Linked DNA regions of Oryzias latipes. The protein of the gene in region 2 binds, or shares a complex with, the protein of the main gene of each other region. Links are inferred from orthologs where the notes say so. Each region holds a gene or a part of one and is shown on either strand. Other genes may lie near its edges.

What was found.
Region 1: nsmce1 (region 2) and nsmce2 share a complex: the UniProt entries of both Homo sapiens proteins name them as parts of the SMC5-SMC6 complex. The link is inferred for Oryzias latipes from reciprocal best matches to the Homo sapiens genes NSMCE1 and NSMCE2.
Region 3: nsmce1 (region 2) and smc5 share a complex: the UniProt entries of both Homo sapiens proteins name them as parts of the SMC5-SMC6 complex. The link is inferred for Oryzias latipes from reciprocal best matches to the Homo sapiens genes NSMCE1 and SMC5.

The regions. Positions count from the first base shown.
Region 1 is NC_019874.2:13,948,426-13,952,485, reverse strand, and holds the start of nsmce2 (E3 SUMO-protein ligase NSE2), read right to left. Parts: upstream 2,801-4,060; 5' UTR 2,505-2,800; coding exon 2,390-2,504; intron 2,186-2,389; coding exon 2,073-2,185; intron 1,895-2,072; coding exon 1,741-1,894; intron 1-1,740. Other genes in the region: washc5 (WASH complex subunit 5), read right to left, coding at 3,281-3,337, 3,482-3,569, 3,646-3,799, 3,907-4,003. UniProt on the Homo sapiens protein: E3 SUMO-protein ligase component of the SMC5-SMC6 complex, a complex involved in DNA double-strand break repair by homologous recombination. Is not be required for the stability of the complex.
Region 2 is NC_019859.2:37,070,588-37,074,087, forward strand, and holds part of nsmce1 (non-structural maintenance of chromosomes element 1 homolog), read right to left. Parts: intron 535-3,500; coding exon 388-534; intron 1-387. UniProt on the Homo sapiens protein: RING-type zinc finger-containing E3 ubiquitin ligase that assembles with melanoma antigen protein (MAGE) to catalyze the direct transfer of ubiquitin from E2 ubiquitin-conjugating enzyme to a specific substrate.
Region 3 is NC_019865.2:11,201,561-11,205,823, forward strand, and holds the start of smc5 (structural maintenance of chromosomes protein 5), read right to left. Parts: upstream 2,801-4,263; 5' UTR 2,747-2,800; coding exon 2,598-2,746; intron 1,651-2,597; coding exon 1,509-1,650; intron 481-1,508; coding exon 428-480; intron 273-427; coding exon 110-272; intron 31-109; coding exon 1-30. UniProt on the Homo sapiens protein: Core component of the SMC5-SMC6 complex, a complex involved in repair of DNA double-strand breaks by homologous recombination.

The sequences.
Region 1 (4,060 bases), on a different chromosome or scaffold from region 2:
CTTTTTCCGATTATAATAAATGTTTACATGCGCCAGATGATCTTCTAAACGTGCTTTTATTATTGTTATGATTATTATGAAGCGCCTGCTTGCTCATTATTTATTTTTAATCTTTGTGGTCAGCTCTTTTTTTTCTGGGAGAACGGACCCGGAAGACGTTAGCGTTAGGAGTAGAAGGCTAACATGCGCTAACAACATTTAGCCTTGGATGAACATAAAATCCATGGGGGAAACGCCGCAATCTGCATCTTGGCTACATGTAAATATGTGGGAATAACATCAGCCTTTATTTTGTCGGGACACGAATGGAAACACAAATCCACGTGATTGTTTGAACGGTTTCTAAGGACTGAGCGACATTTCTGCTTTAAGCACACACCGCCCCAAAGCCGCTGTGTGCTCTGCTCGAAGACACAGTTCTACTGGGAGACCCGGCTCTCCTGAGTTTAGCAGCTCGTTCACCTAGAGCTGCAGTCCAAAGCCTCCCACTCATAGCACACACGTTACAAAGCACCCTCTCCTCCCCTCAAACACAAAGCTATAAGTCTGGCTTCTCTGCTCAGAGACACGGTTCACTCGATCCGATCAACAATCGGCATAACCCACCTATCTCGATTGGAAAGAAATTTTGATCAGAACAAGTCTGATCGGGGCAGAGTATTCCGAACGGCGTGTTTACATGACACATTTTTCTTCCGATCAGGTGTTCTTTCCAATTACTTTTGTCCATATAAACGCAGCTAGTAAGATAAACACAGATTTTGAAAAATGTTTTGAGTCAATAAATTGGAAAATTATGCAGTTTATACTTGTTGCATCTTAATATAAAAATGATGGGTGGAAAGGTGTGGATTTTACATGGTCTATTGCACTTTGTTTCATAAATGTCTCGAATTCTGCACTTGTGAAGCATGTCCCATTGTCTGATACCAACATCTTTGGAGGACCAAACACACTGAAACTCTGTCGCAATTTTTCAATGGTGATTTGTGAAGTAGCTGATTTCACCGAATAAATGGTTTTAGGTCATAATGGTTCTTCATCAGTAATACAAGCTCATTGAAGGACTTGTCTTTTGGCTTGTCTGGGCTGAGGAGGTTCGCATAAACTGTAGGTCGGTGCTCCAACTACACTTATCAACATTGCCTTTTGTCTGTCTTGATTGTCTATTTCATTGGCCGCAAAAAACTGTTCAAGTATTTCTGTATACTTAACCCAAGTTTGAGTCTTTGGATCAAACGCTGCTGGCGTGCCAATTGTTGCCATGCTTCACTTCTGTGGGAGGTTAACCACGTATCTTTCTGCTGCTTCTTTCTTCTTTTCTTTCTCTCTCTTTTTCTAAGGTCTATGGGCTTTTCTCCTCCTTAAAAATCCTCTTCACCAAAAAGATGTTGCATCTTCATATAAAAATGAAGGTCCCACACATTGAACTGGGTGCAACAGTTTTTCATTTGCATAACAGAACCTTTCTGAACAGTGGATGCTGTCCACCATGGTTCCTGACTTCTTCGTCTGTCACCACACGGCGCTACAACTCAATGAAACTTGTAGGCTTGCCCTCTGGTGGCCACTTACCTAATTACAATACAATATTAAACCAACAATCTTCTCAAATTCAACATACCACATTACTAAAAAATAAAAAAATAAATAAAAAAAGTAAGATGCGCTTTCAAACAATGCCTCAGAAATCAGTGAAATTATTTTATAGAGATATAAAAAAAAATTCAACAGCCTTACTTTGTTTTGAAGCGTTCCCGATGCTGTCCTTAAAGGCAGCCACTTTCTGATGGCTGTGGATTTCATCATCAGAAAGTCGGGCTATTCTCTCTGAGAACTGCTCCTTCACTTTGTCAGAAAGGCCGAACAAGGCCTCTGGTTGCTGTGCATTCACCTGCACCAAAGTGAGGCATATTAGATCATTTCTTTTTAGACTTATAAAAATGAGTCTGCGCTTTACAAACACGGATCTAATCAAAGCACAAACAAGCAAAAATAGGGACAGATAACGCTGCAGTAAATGACCTAAATGAATTATTGTTTTTAAACCTGATCCTCATCATAATAGTTACCTCGGATGTAACTTCTTTTGCGATGTCTACAAAGATGTTAATCTCCCTGTCCAGCTTGGCACAGTCCAGGATCATGGTCTCCAGCTCTTTGATGGAAGAGTTCATCTCTTCATCTGAAATGTAAAAAATATACACAAATATAAACTCAATTATTACAAAATATAAGTGCACGCTGAATGGAGCTTGGTCACATGTTTAGCATAATTGCGATAAAACACCATGTTCTTGGACTGCTTCACTATACTAACTGATCCTAGAAGAATAAAACCCATTTCTGATCACGTTTGCAGAAAATGATGCAGGCTCCGAATGTTTACCCTGAGATTCCACCACATCTATGGCAACGTCCGTCACGATGTCCATCCCCGTCGCAATGTCTGCCAAACACGATTTTAAATTGGACAATGCGCCGTTGACAGCACTCAGAGACATTGTGTTCGTAACTTTTATCCCTAAAGTCCAAAGAAAAATCACTGTGTGTTCACCGTTATTGATATCTTCCTTATGTTAACGGCTAGCTAGCTAACTGCTAGCCTTATACTCGCGCCGTCTTGCGAAAAGATGAGATATGCCAATGTATCTCAAAATAGAAAAAAAAACAAAAAAGATAAGTAACTATTCTTAATTCAAAGTACAACCAAAGATCAAACGATAACAAAAAAATAAGAAGGAAAAGGAAGAAAAGTAGTAAACATTTGAGATGAACGGAAGTTACAGTTTCACTTCCGTTTGTTTCTTCAAACTAAAAGCCATCAAATAAATTCATAAAGAAAACAACGAGCAGTAAAGAATTATACTGTATTTATTGATAAACAATACCACAAAATATTAGTATGGAAATGTTTTTGATTGAGCATTAAATGTACAGTTTATTAATACAAAACTTTATTGTTCTAGAAAATGAAATATGAACTACTTCTTGAAGCTTTTTTACATTTGACATTGTGGCCTTTTCTGGTTGAAATAAAAATGTATTTTTAACAAAACACATTTTGTTATAACATTGCAGAAACAGATTATAAGGCTGGGCATGAAATGTATATGGGGGGAAAAAAAGCACATCCTAATTTCTGAACAATTAATTAGAGCAAAATGATTGTTGCTTCTACCACAAAAATCTTTGCCACTAGATCAAGACTAATATAAACAAAGAAAAGTACAGTACAAACAAAGACTGCATCTTCAGTTTGATGTCCTTGTCCGGGGGCTCACAAAATAGTTCTGAATTCGTCAAAAATGAAACTGGGTACATGAGCTTCAACCACCTTAAAACAGATAGATAATAAAAAGAAATGCATGTTAACAATCCTTCAAGTTTGTAAAAACAAGCTGTCTTAGCATGACATAGCAATTCTTTTTCTTCCAGATACCTTTAAAATAAACCACCTCTAAAGTAACTGTTTTCTTACCTTGCGTGACAGTTTTGTGTATTTTACATAGTCTTCAAGGAACATCAGGGCCCCCACAACATCAGAGGGCATTTCAGGGATTTTCTGGCTGTGACACCAGTAAAAGACAAATTTAAGAAAACTGCAAACAATGGGTTTGATCAAAATGTTAAACTTTTAGTTACCTTGTGCACTGCTCCATAACAGAGCGGATGAACTGTCCAAGCAGAGCAAGGAAGTGCTGTGTGTATCTGGAGTGGAACTGCTTGAGCAGGGTGAGCAGACCCAGCACTAGTGGGGGCCAGTCGACAGGATCGGTTGCTTTCTTGCAGGTCATTCCTTTTACACAGAGAAAATCCTTAACTTGGCGTGTACACAGAAAAAGTCACCACAGAAATTCACAGATTCCAATCCATCAAGCTAAGATAGCGAGAAGTGAAACGCACCTTGATTTTTGTTGTACTGAAGTTTAGGCAGCTGAGCAATGATAAACAGGAGGTTGATGATGGGGAAGTAAGGAAGACGCTTTGTGGTGATGTAAATCTGTTTGAACCAAAAAGAAATAAACATTGTTTACTGGTGAAATGTGGCATTTTTAAC
Region 2 (3,500 bases):
AGATCTGCATCATGTGACTATTTCAAAGTATGGATGTGTGACGTCAGCACACATTCTCTATCATTGTTGATATGATAAATGTTCCACTGATCATTTCCTGATCTGTTGTTTAAAGTGTTCCCAGTGGTCTTTTAACGATGATGTGGTTTTTAGCCAAAATCCAAAAAACTAAGACAGACCTAGGACATAGTTTCTGCAGAGTGGCAGGAGTTCATTAGAAATCATTGGAGAAGTTACAATCTTAAATGTCCTCCATCGTCAGAAAAAGGTTCAAAGAACATGTAAAAAACACCAAACACAGGATTTTCATCAGAGTGGGTCTACAACTTACATCTATCCATAGATCTCCACCTTTTCTGGGAGCGGGTGGAGATCCTGTCGGCTTACCTCACACAGCCATTTGTCGTGCACGAGTCGGCTCAGGAGGTGCTCCGTCTCGCTCTTCTTCAGCTTTTTGGTGGTCATGGTGTCAGTACTGTTTAGGATGTCGGTGGAAGACGCCTTTCCGTTCTCAGAACACACAATCAGATCCACCTGGATGGAACCAAAGTCCCAGCAAATGTCTTGGTTACCAGAAGCTGAACACTACCAGGACACAAATGATGAGGGAGGGGGGTCTGTTAAAGACGTCTGTCATGTCAAACCTCTATCCATCCCTCCACCCATCCATCCACCCACCCATCCATCCCTCCACCCATCCATCCACCCATCCATCATCCATCCATCCATCCCTCCCTCCCTTCCTCCACCCATCCATCCATCATCCATCCATCCATCCATCCACCCATCCATCCATCCATCCATCATCCACCCATCCATCCATCCATCATCCATCCCTCCCTCCCTCCATCCACCCATCCAGCCATCATCCATCCATCCATCCACCCATCCATCCATCCATCATCCATCCATCCCTCCCTCCCTTCCTCCATCCATCCATCCATCCAACCATCATCCATCCATCCATCCATCCATCCATCATCCATCCCTCCCTCCCTCCATCCATCCACCCATCCATCCAACCATCACCCATCCATCCATTCATCCATCCATCCATCATCCATCATCCATCCACCCACCATCCATCCACCTATCCACCCATCCATCCATTCATCCATCCATCCATCTATCCATCATCCATCCATCCATCCATCCATCATCCATCCATCCCTCCCTCCCTTCCTCCATCCATCCACCCATCCATCCAACCATCATCCATCCATCCATCCATCCATCCATCATCCATCCCTCCCTCCCTCCATCCATCCACCCATCCATCCAACCATCATCCATCCATCCATTCATCCATCCATCCATCATCCATCATCCATCCACCCACCATCCATCCACCTATCCACCCATCCATCCATTCATCCATCCATCATCCATCCCTCCCTTCCTCCATCCATCCACCCATCCATCCAACCATCATCCATCCATCCATCCATCCATCATCCATCCCTCCCTCCCTCCATCCATCCACCCATCCATCCAACCATCATCCATCCATCCATTCATCCATCCATCCATCTATCCATCATCCATCCATCCATCCATCCATCCATCCATCCATCCATCCATCCACCCCTCATCCATCCATCCACCCATCCATGCATCCATCCATCCATCCAACCAATCATCCATCCATCATCCATCCACCCATCCATCCATCCATCCAACAATCCATCCATGCATCCATCCATCCATCCATCCACCCATTCATCCATCCAACTTCAAAGTTGAAGACTTGTATAGTATTTTCAGTCTAAAATACTATGTTTATGTACTAATAACTCCAAAATAACTACACAAATTTTTGTGATGAGATTTCTTCGTCGTGTGAATTCTTATTTTTGTAGTAACACATCATTAGAACAGATAAGGCATTTTGTTCTGAAAACAGCTCTGCTGTAAACCGTGTCATGGGGGAAACATGACGTTTCTTTATTTTTTTTATTTTTTTTTTCCTTATAATCTTTATTTAGGTAGGAAATGTGAGAAGCACATTCATTTGAACAACTTTAATAAGTTCCATTAAGTGAAGTTAATAAGCACTTCAACTTTGAATTTACATAATTTCTACCTTACAGCTTTTATTGTGAATTTTTTTTTTCTTTTTTTTTTTTTTTAACTTGTCCTGTCCAACAGCTGGGCAGACAGACGAGAGCTGAGGGCCTCTTGTGTTGGACATATTTTGCTTTAACAAGAGGGGTTATTAATCTTCTGACAAACCAAAGGTATGTCTGAATAAACCCCTTTTGTAATTGAGGCCAAACTTTATTAATTTCAATCATGTCTGAAAATCTTTGGTGTTGGACCGGACGGAAAAGGAAAGAGGGGAAGAAGAGAGAGGGACGCTAGAGAGAGGGGGCGGTAGGGGGTGATAATAGGAGGGGAAGGGGGATAAGACTATGAAGCAGCATAGAGCAGACAGGTTTACTGGTTGTTAATCATTATGGTAAGGTTCAAATGCAGTACAAAAATGGCGGGGCCCGTCCACACACACACTCAAATGTTATAAACACACCTGCTAGCTGCAAAAATGTCCACCTGTCGACATGTACACAAAACAGATAGTGTTCACACGCATACTTATGCCTTAAAACCAACTAGTGTGAAATATTTCAGTCATTCAGTCATGCAAGCTATTAGTGCAAAGGTGAGCTAACACCAGTGCTCAGGTGAGGTTTTATGTTCTTCTAAAATGGATGGTGGAACGTGAAAAGAAGGAGGGAGAGTGCCCAGCCATCCCCACCCCAAGACCCCTACCGCAGCAGCAGCGGCAGCCGGAATCCCCCCAACGCCACACGGGAACCGGCAGGGAACAACCGCCGCCCGGTCGACCAAGCCCGCCACCCAGGCCAGGGCCAGCAGGGCCGCCGCAAGGCCCCCAGAGCCAGAGGCCAGGGAAGCACGGAGGGAAAGAGAGCGCCGCCCCAGCCCAACCAGGAGAGCAGCCCCCCCGCCGCGCCGGGAGAACCCAACGCAGAGCCCCACCGGAGAAGGACGCCCACAGCCCCAAACAAGCACCCCACCACCACCCAGGAGTTCCGGGCATCCCCCCGCCCCAACCCCAGGTACGAGCCAGGACCCCCCAAGGGAGACCCGCTCCGCACTCCAGGCAGCCATCCGCCCGGCCCACGGTTGGTCCAGGGAGGAGCGAGGCAGGGGGCCCGCCGCCCCCGCCCAGGAGGGGGGAACCGCGGGGAAAAAAAGAGGGCCCACAAGGGGTGTTATAAATATGGCCCGACCAGGCTCGGCCACAGTTGGAAATTTGGCGGGGCCCAGCACTCAGGAGCAAGGACCAGAACCCACCCCCCAGGGACCAGATACCCCCGGCACAGATGTAATGTGAACTCCCCCACCGCGCGGAGAGAGCACCGCCGGGCCCAGGAAGCCGGCACCCCGGGGACACGGCCGCCGTTGCAAAGGGGCCCGCACCCCCCACCAGGGAAGAGGCAGGGGACAGATGGACCCAGGTCCCACCTTCCTTGCAAAAT
Region 3 (4,263 bases), on a different chromosome or scaffold from region 2:
AGACATTTTGGCAAACTCACCAACTTTTTCCTGTTGGGAAAAACACAACATGAAGGAACTTGAGCAGTTTTCTGTCTATTAAACCCTTGGCACTTTCACAAACACATACCTGAGGAAGAAACTGGCAGAGGTTGCCGACTTGAATTTGCAGAGCCTTGACCTCCTCTTCTACCGTTTTCTGGTTGCAGTGTTTCCCATTCAGCATCCAAAGGGACTGATTATTTTCCACATGGATCTCCCTGTTAATGACTATGTTACCTCCTGTTTTGTACCTTCAACAACAGAACAGAGACAGTTACAAAAAATAAGTATGTTTAAGGGCACCAATGTTAAGGAGCTGTAAGCTTTTTCTATAAAACAACTGTGGCTGAAATGTCTGTTTTTAAAAGAATGAGTGACTTTGTGGAAATTATTTCACATAACTTACAATTCAATCTCAATGGACCCTTTATGGCAGCCACGCTTCACATAAAGCCCAACCTGAAAAAAAGGTAAAGGAAGTCAAACCTGTTTAAAGTCCTTGCAGCAATTCTAACTTTTTTCCAAAAATGTATACATTTCTGTGCTTTTTTCTCTCCTTTTTTCCCTTTTTGTCCTTTTCTGTGTATTGAACATTGCAACACCCCCTTGTTTGTTAAGTGATTTATAGGTTTAGGTTTGTCCTACCGGTACATGTTTTTGCTTTGTTTGTATCATTGAACTCAAAATAAGGGGTAAAAAACGTCTATGTGCCATTTCGTTTTATTTCTGTAATGTCCCTGTTGTATTTGAGTGAACTTAAAATCTATAACAAACATAAGTTGGAAGCATATTTAATTGATAAGGACAAGTGTGAAGAATAGTTAGAAACTGCCTTTAACTTTTATTACACTAATGGTTTAAACTTAAGTCACTAAGCATGTATTATCATCTCAAAATTATATTACATTTGAAGAAAGCACAACCAAGACTGTTTTCTCATAGCATTCCTCATCCTCCCTTTTTCCTTTTTGTGTGTGCTGGTGTTTGTGCTGTTTGTGACACTTGAAGCTTCTTGACCTTCGAGCATCTCGCCTGCAACAACCTGTGGCCGTGATTTTCACACCACTGTCCAGTGTATGATCTTCTGAATATGCAAATGCAGGGTTCTTATACCAAGACCATCTCTCTGAGCTTCGGTGTTCAGACTTTGAATGCACTATATTCATCTGTCTGTCCCCTTCGTGTTTGTACGAAGTAAAACTTCCACAAAAGATAAGTTTTGTCTCTGAGTCATTATTCATTCGTTTCTGTGTGCAGCAAACTGAAGGGTACGACCTTAACCTTATTTTTATCTACAGTCCTGTTTAGAATGATCAGTTTCCTCACAACAAGTAAATATTTGGCCAAAGTTTAAGTGAGTCATGGGATGCAACATTGCTGAACTGTTCAAGGTTAAGGCTTCTGTCAAAATCTACCAGTTACTCTGATCTTTTATAGAGAATCTCATCAACACACTTCAACTAAATAAATCCCAACAGTACATTTACCTTATCTCCTCTCCCCAGAACAGCGGTCTTTCCAGCCAGGCCCAGACAGATGGCACAAACAATGCTGGACTTGCCAGTTCCATTTGCACCAACAATCATGTTCAGATTTGGTCCAGGACACACCACAGAGTAGTCATAGGTCCTGCCAAAGTACAGCGAAGACACCGGTCATTTTCCAGCCACATGCAGGAAAGTCACACTTTAATTCTTCAAACAAAAAACATCAACATTACGGGTTTTATCTGTTTTTCAACAATTCAATTAAATTAATGATACGAGAAGAAGATTAAAGCACAGTGACACACAACGCGATTTTAACACAATAAACATACATAAAGGTACTCGTAGAAACCTGTTTATGTGGTTTGTGGAACTGTAAAACTCATGCTTGACACTAGTACACTGAATGTTACTGAAGACTGAATCTCACATTTTCTAATACTGTTCAAAGATGATGCAGAAATGCAATGAAGTGTAGAGAACTGTGTTTTACACTATATTAATGCACTTTTCATCTATTCTGTAGATTCTGTCATTCTTGTTGCAAATCATGTGATGTTTTTTTCCCTTTATTGAATATTATGACAATTTAAGGATGTTGGAAGATTTCAGTTAACATCACTGAAAATAATTCAGATGACATTAAATTGGCACTTTCAGTTTTGGGTTGTCAAACTCTCAGACACAAATGTGACATTGGCTCTTTGCTTTTAATATTTTCCAAATTTTGTAAATTAAAAAAAGACGAAAAAATACATTTGAGTTTAAAGACGTAAGAATAACAATTACTGGTAGACTACATCATATCCGAACCTGACAAAAGAGTTTTCATTTTTCTAAAGTTGAAGTCGTTTAGAATTAAAATACATAACATACACAACTGATGAGTTCTACGTTAACGGAGCAAAAACAGCCCAGCTTACTGACTTTATTCCTCTTCTACAACATCGGTAAACCAAAACACGCTTCAGTAAAACATATCATATGTCAGCTTGTCAGAGCAAATGTAGAGGCTAAGCTTTTACGGTAGTTTGGCGTTAGCATAGCTAGCTTAACTAGTGTGACTAGTGAAAAGGAGGTGGAACTTACAGGAAGTTTTTCATGGTGATGCGCAGAATGGAGCCCTCCACAAACGGATGAGCTTCATCGACATCCCTGGTCTTATAGAAGGCCTTGGAAGGAGTCTGTGAACTGTTGTTATGGTGGCTGAGCCGCTGCTTCTTACTAGGCTCAGCCATGTCAACAGACACTGATATACTAGTGATGGGAAGAACAGTTTGCCCTGCCGCGCTTTCCCGAGGCAAAGCTGAAAGATGATTGGTGAAGATAGGTCACGTGTGTCCACATTTGATGACGTAAGATTCTAAACAGTGCCCCACCCCCCCCCAAAAAAATGTTTTACTCTTTTATACTGAGAAATAAAGTAACCAGTATTTGAAACATTCTGTACTAAATAGAAACACCTGTACATATTTAAACTGTTTACATTAAACAAACTCTCTCACAGTTATTAATTTTATACTAGTGCAACCTCCTCCAAGCCCCAAAAAAGGGCACTGTTTTTTTATTTTTTATTTAACCCTGTTAAATTAATAAATAAACACAATTTTAAAAAGATATTTGTAAAAGACAACTATTTTTGTTGTTGCAATGGGATCAGATTATGTCTTGAAGTGTGTGTGGTGCAGGATCTGGAGCAGCCCACCAGCAACTAATTGTTGTTGTTTTTAAGTTTAATTCAAACATGTTAATAATAAGATAAATATTCTCTATTACTTGCCTGGAAATAAAGAGGAATGTTTTAAGCCTAACTTGGAATGTAGAAACTGTGTTGGCCTCTCTTACATGAACTGGGAGCTTATCCCATAGAACAGGGGCTTGATGGCTAAAGGCTCTACCTCCAAATAAATACAACTGTGTATGATCCGCATAACAGTGACAATCAATAGTGGGCAGCGTATAAAGCATAAAGGGGAAGGGTCCTAGAACTGAGCCCTGTGGGACTCCGTAGCTAACTCGAGTTCCATGAGAGGACTGTCCATTTACATTAACAAACTGGTCCCTATCGAATAAATAGGATTCAAACCACTGGAGGGCAAATCCTCTGATCTCTATGTCATACTCTAATCTTTGGAGTAAAATACTGTGGTTGATAGTGTCAAAGCCTGCACTGAGGTCTAACAGGACCAGAATAGACAGTAGTTCCTTTTCTGAGGCCAATAATAAGTCATTAGAGACTCTATATAGTGCAATTTCAGTGTTGTGGTGTAGTTTGAACCCTGACTGAAAATCTTCAAATTGACTATTGTCCTGTAGGTGGCGGTAAAGCTGCTTAACTACCACTCATTCTATGATTTTTGAAACAAAGGGGAGATTTTTTTTCTTCTTTACTTTATTATAAAGGGGAGATTTGATATTGGACTATTGCAGGCCAGATTGCCGGGATCTAAATTGAGCTTTTTTAGAATAGGTTTCACAACTACATATTTAAAAGACTGTGGCACATAACTTGTTTCTAGAGAGGTATTTATTATACTTAATAAATACTATAATAAATAATAGTTGCATTTGATCAGGTGACTTTCCAAATAAATCTCCATTTCATCACTTCTCCACCATTCGCAGCAGTTTTGAATTCAGAGCAGCCTATGAACATGCCCGTTCTTAAAGAGAGACATAACTCATTCTGTGTTTGTGGCTTTGCCGTTGAGAGAGTAGTAATGAGTCTGACAACAGGAAAGCAAGCAAAACATGG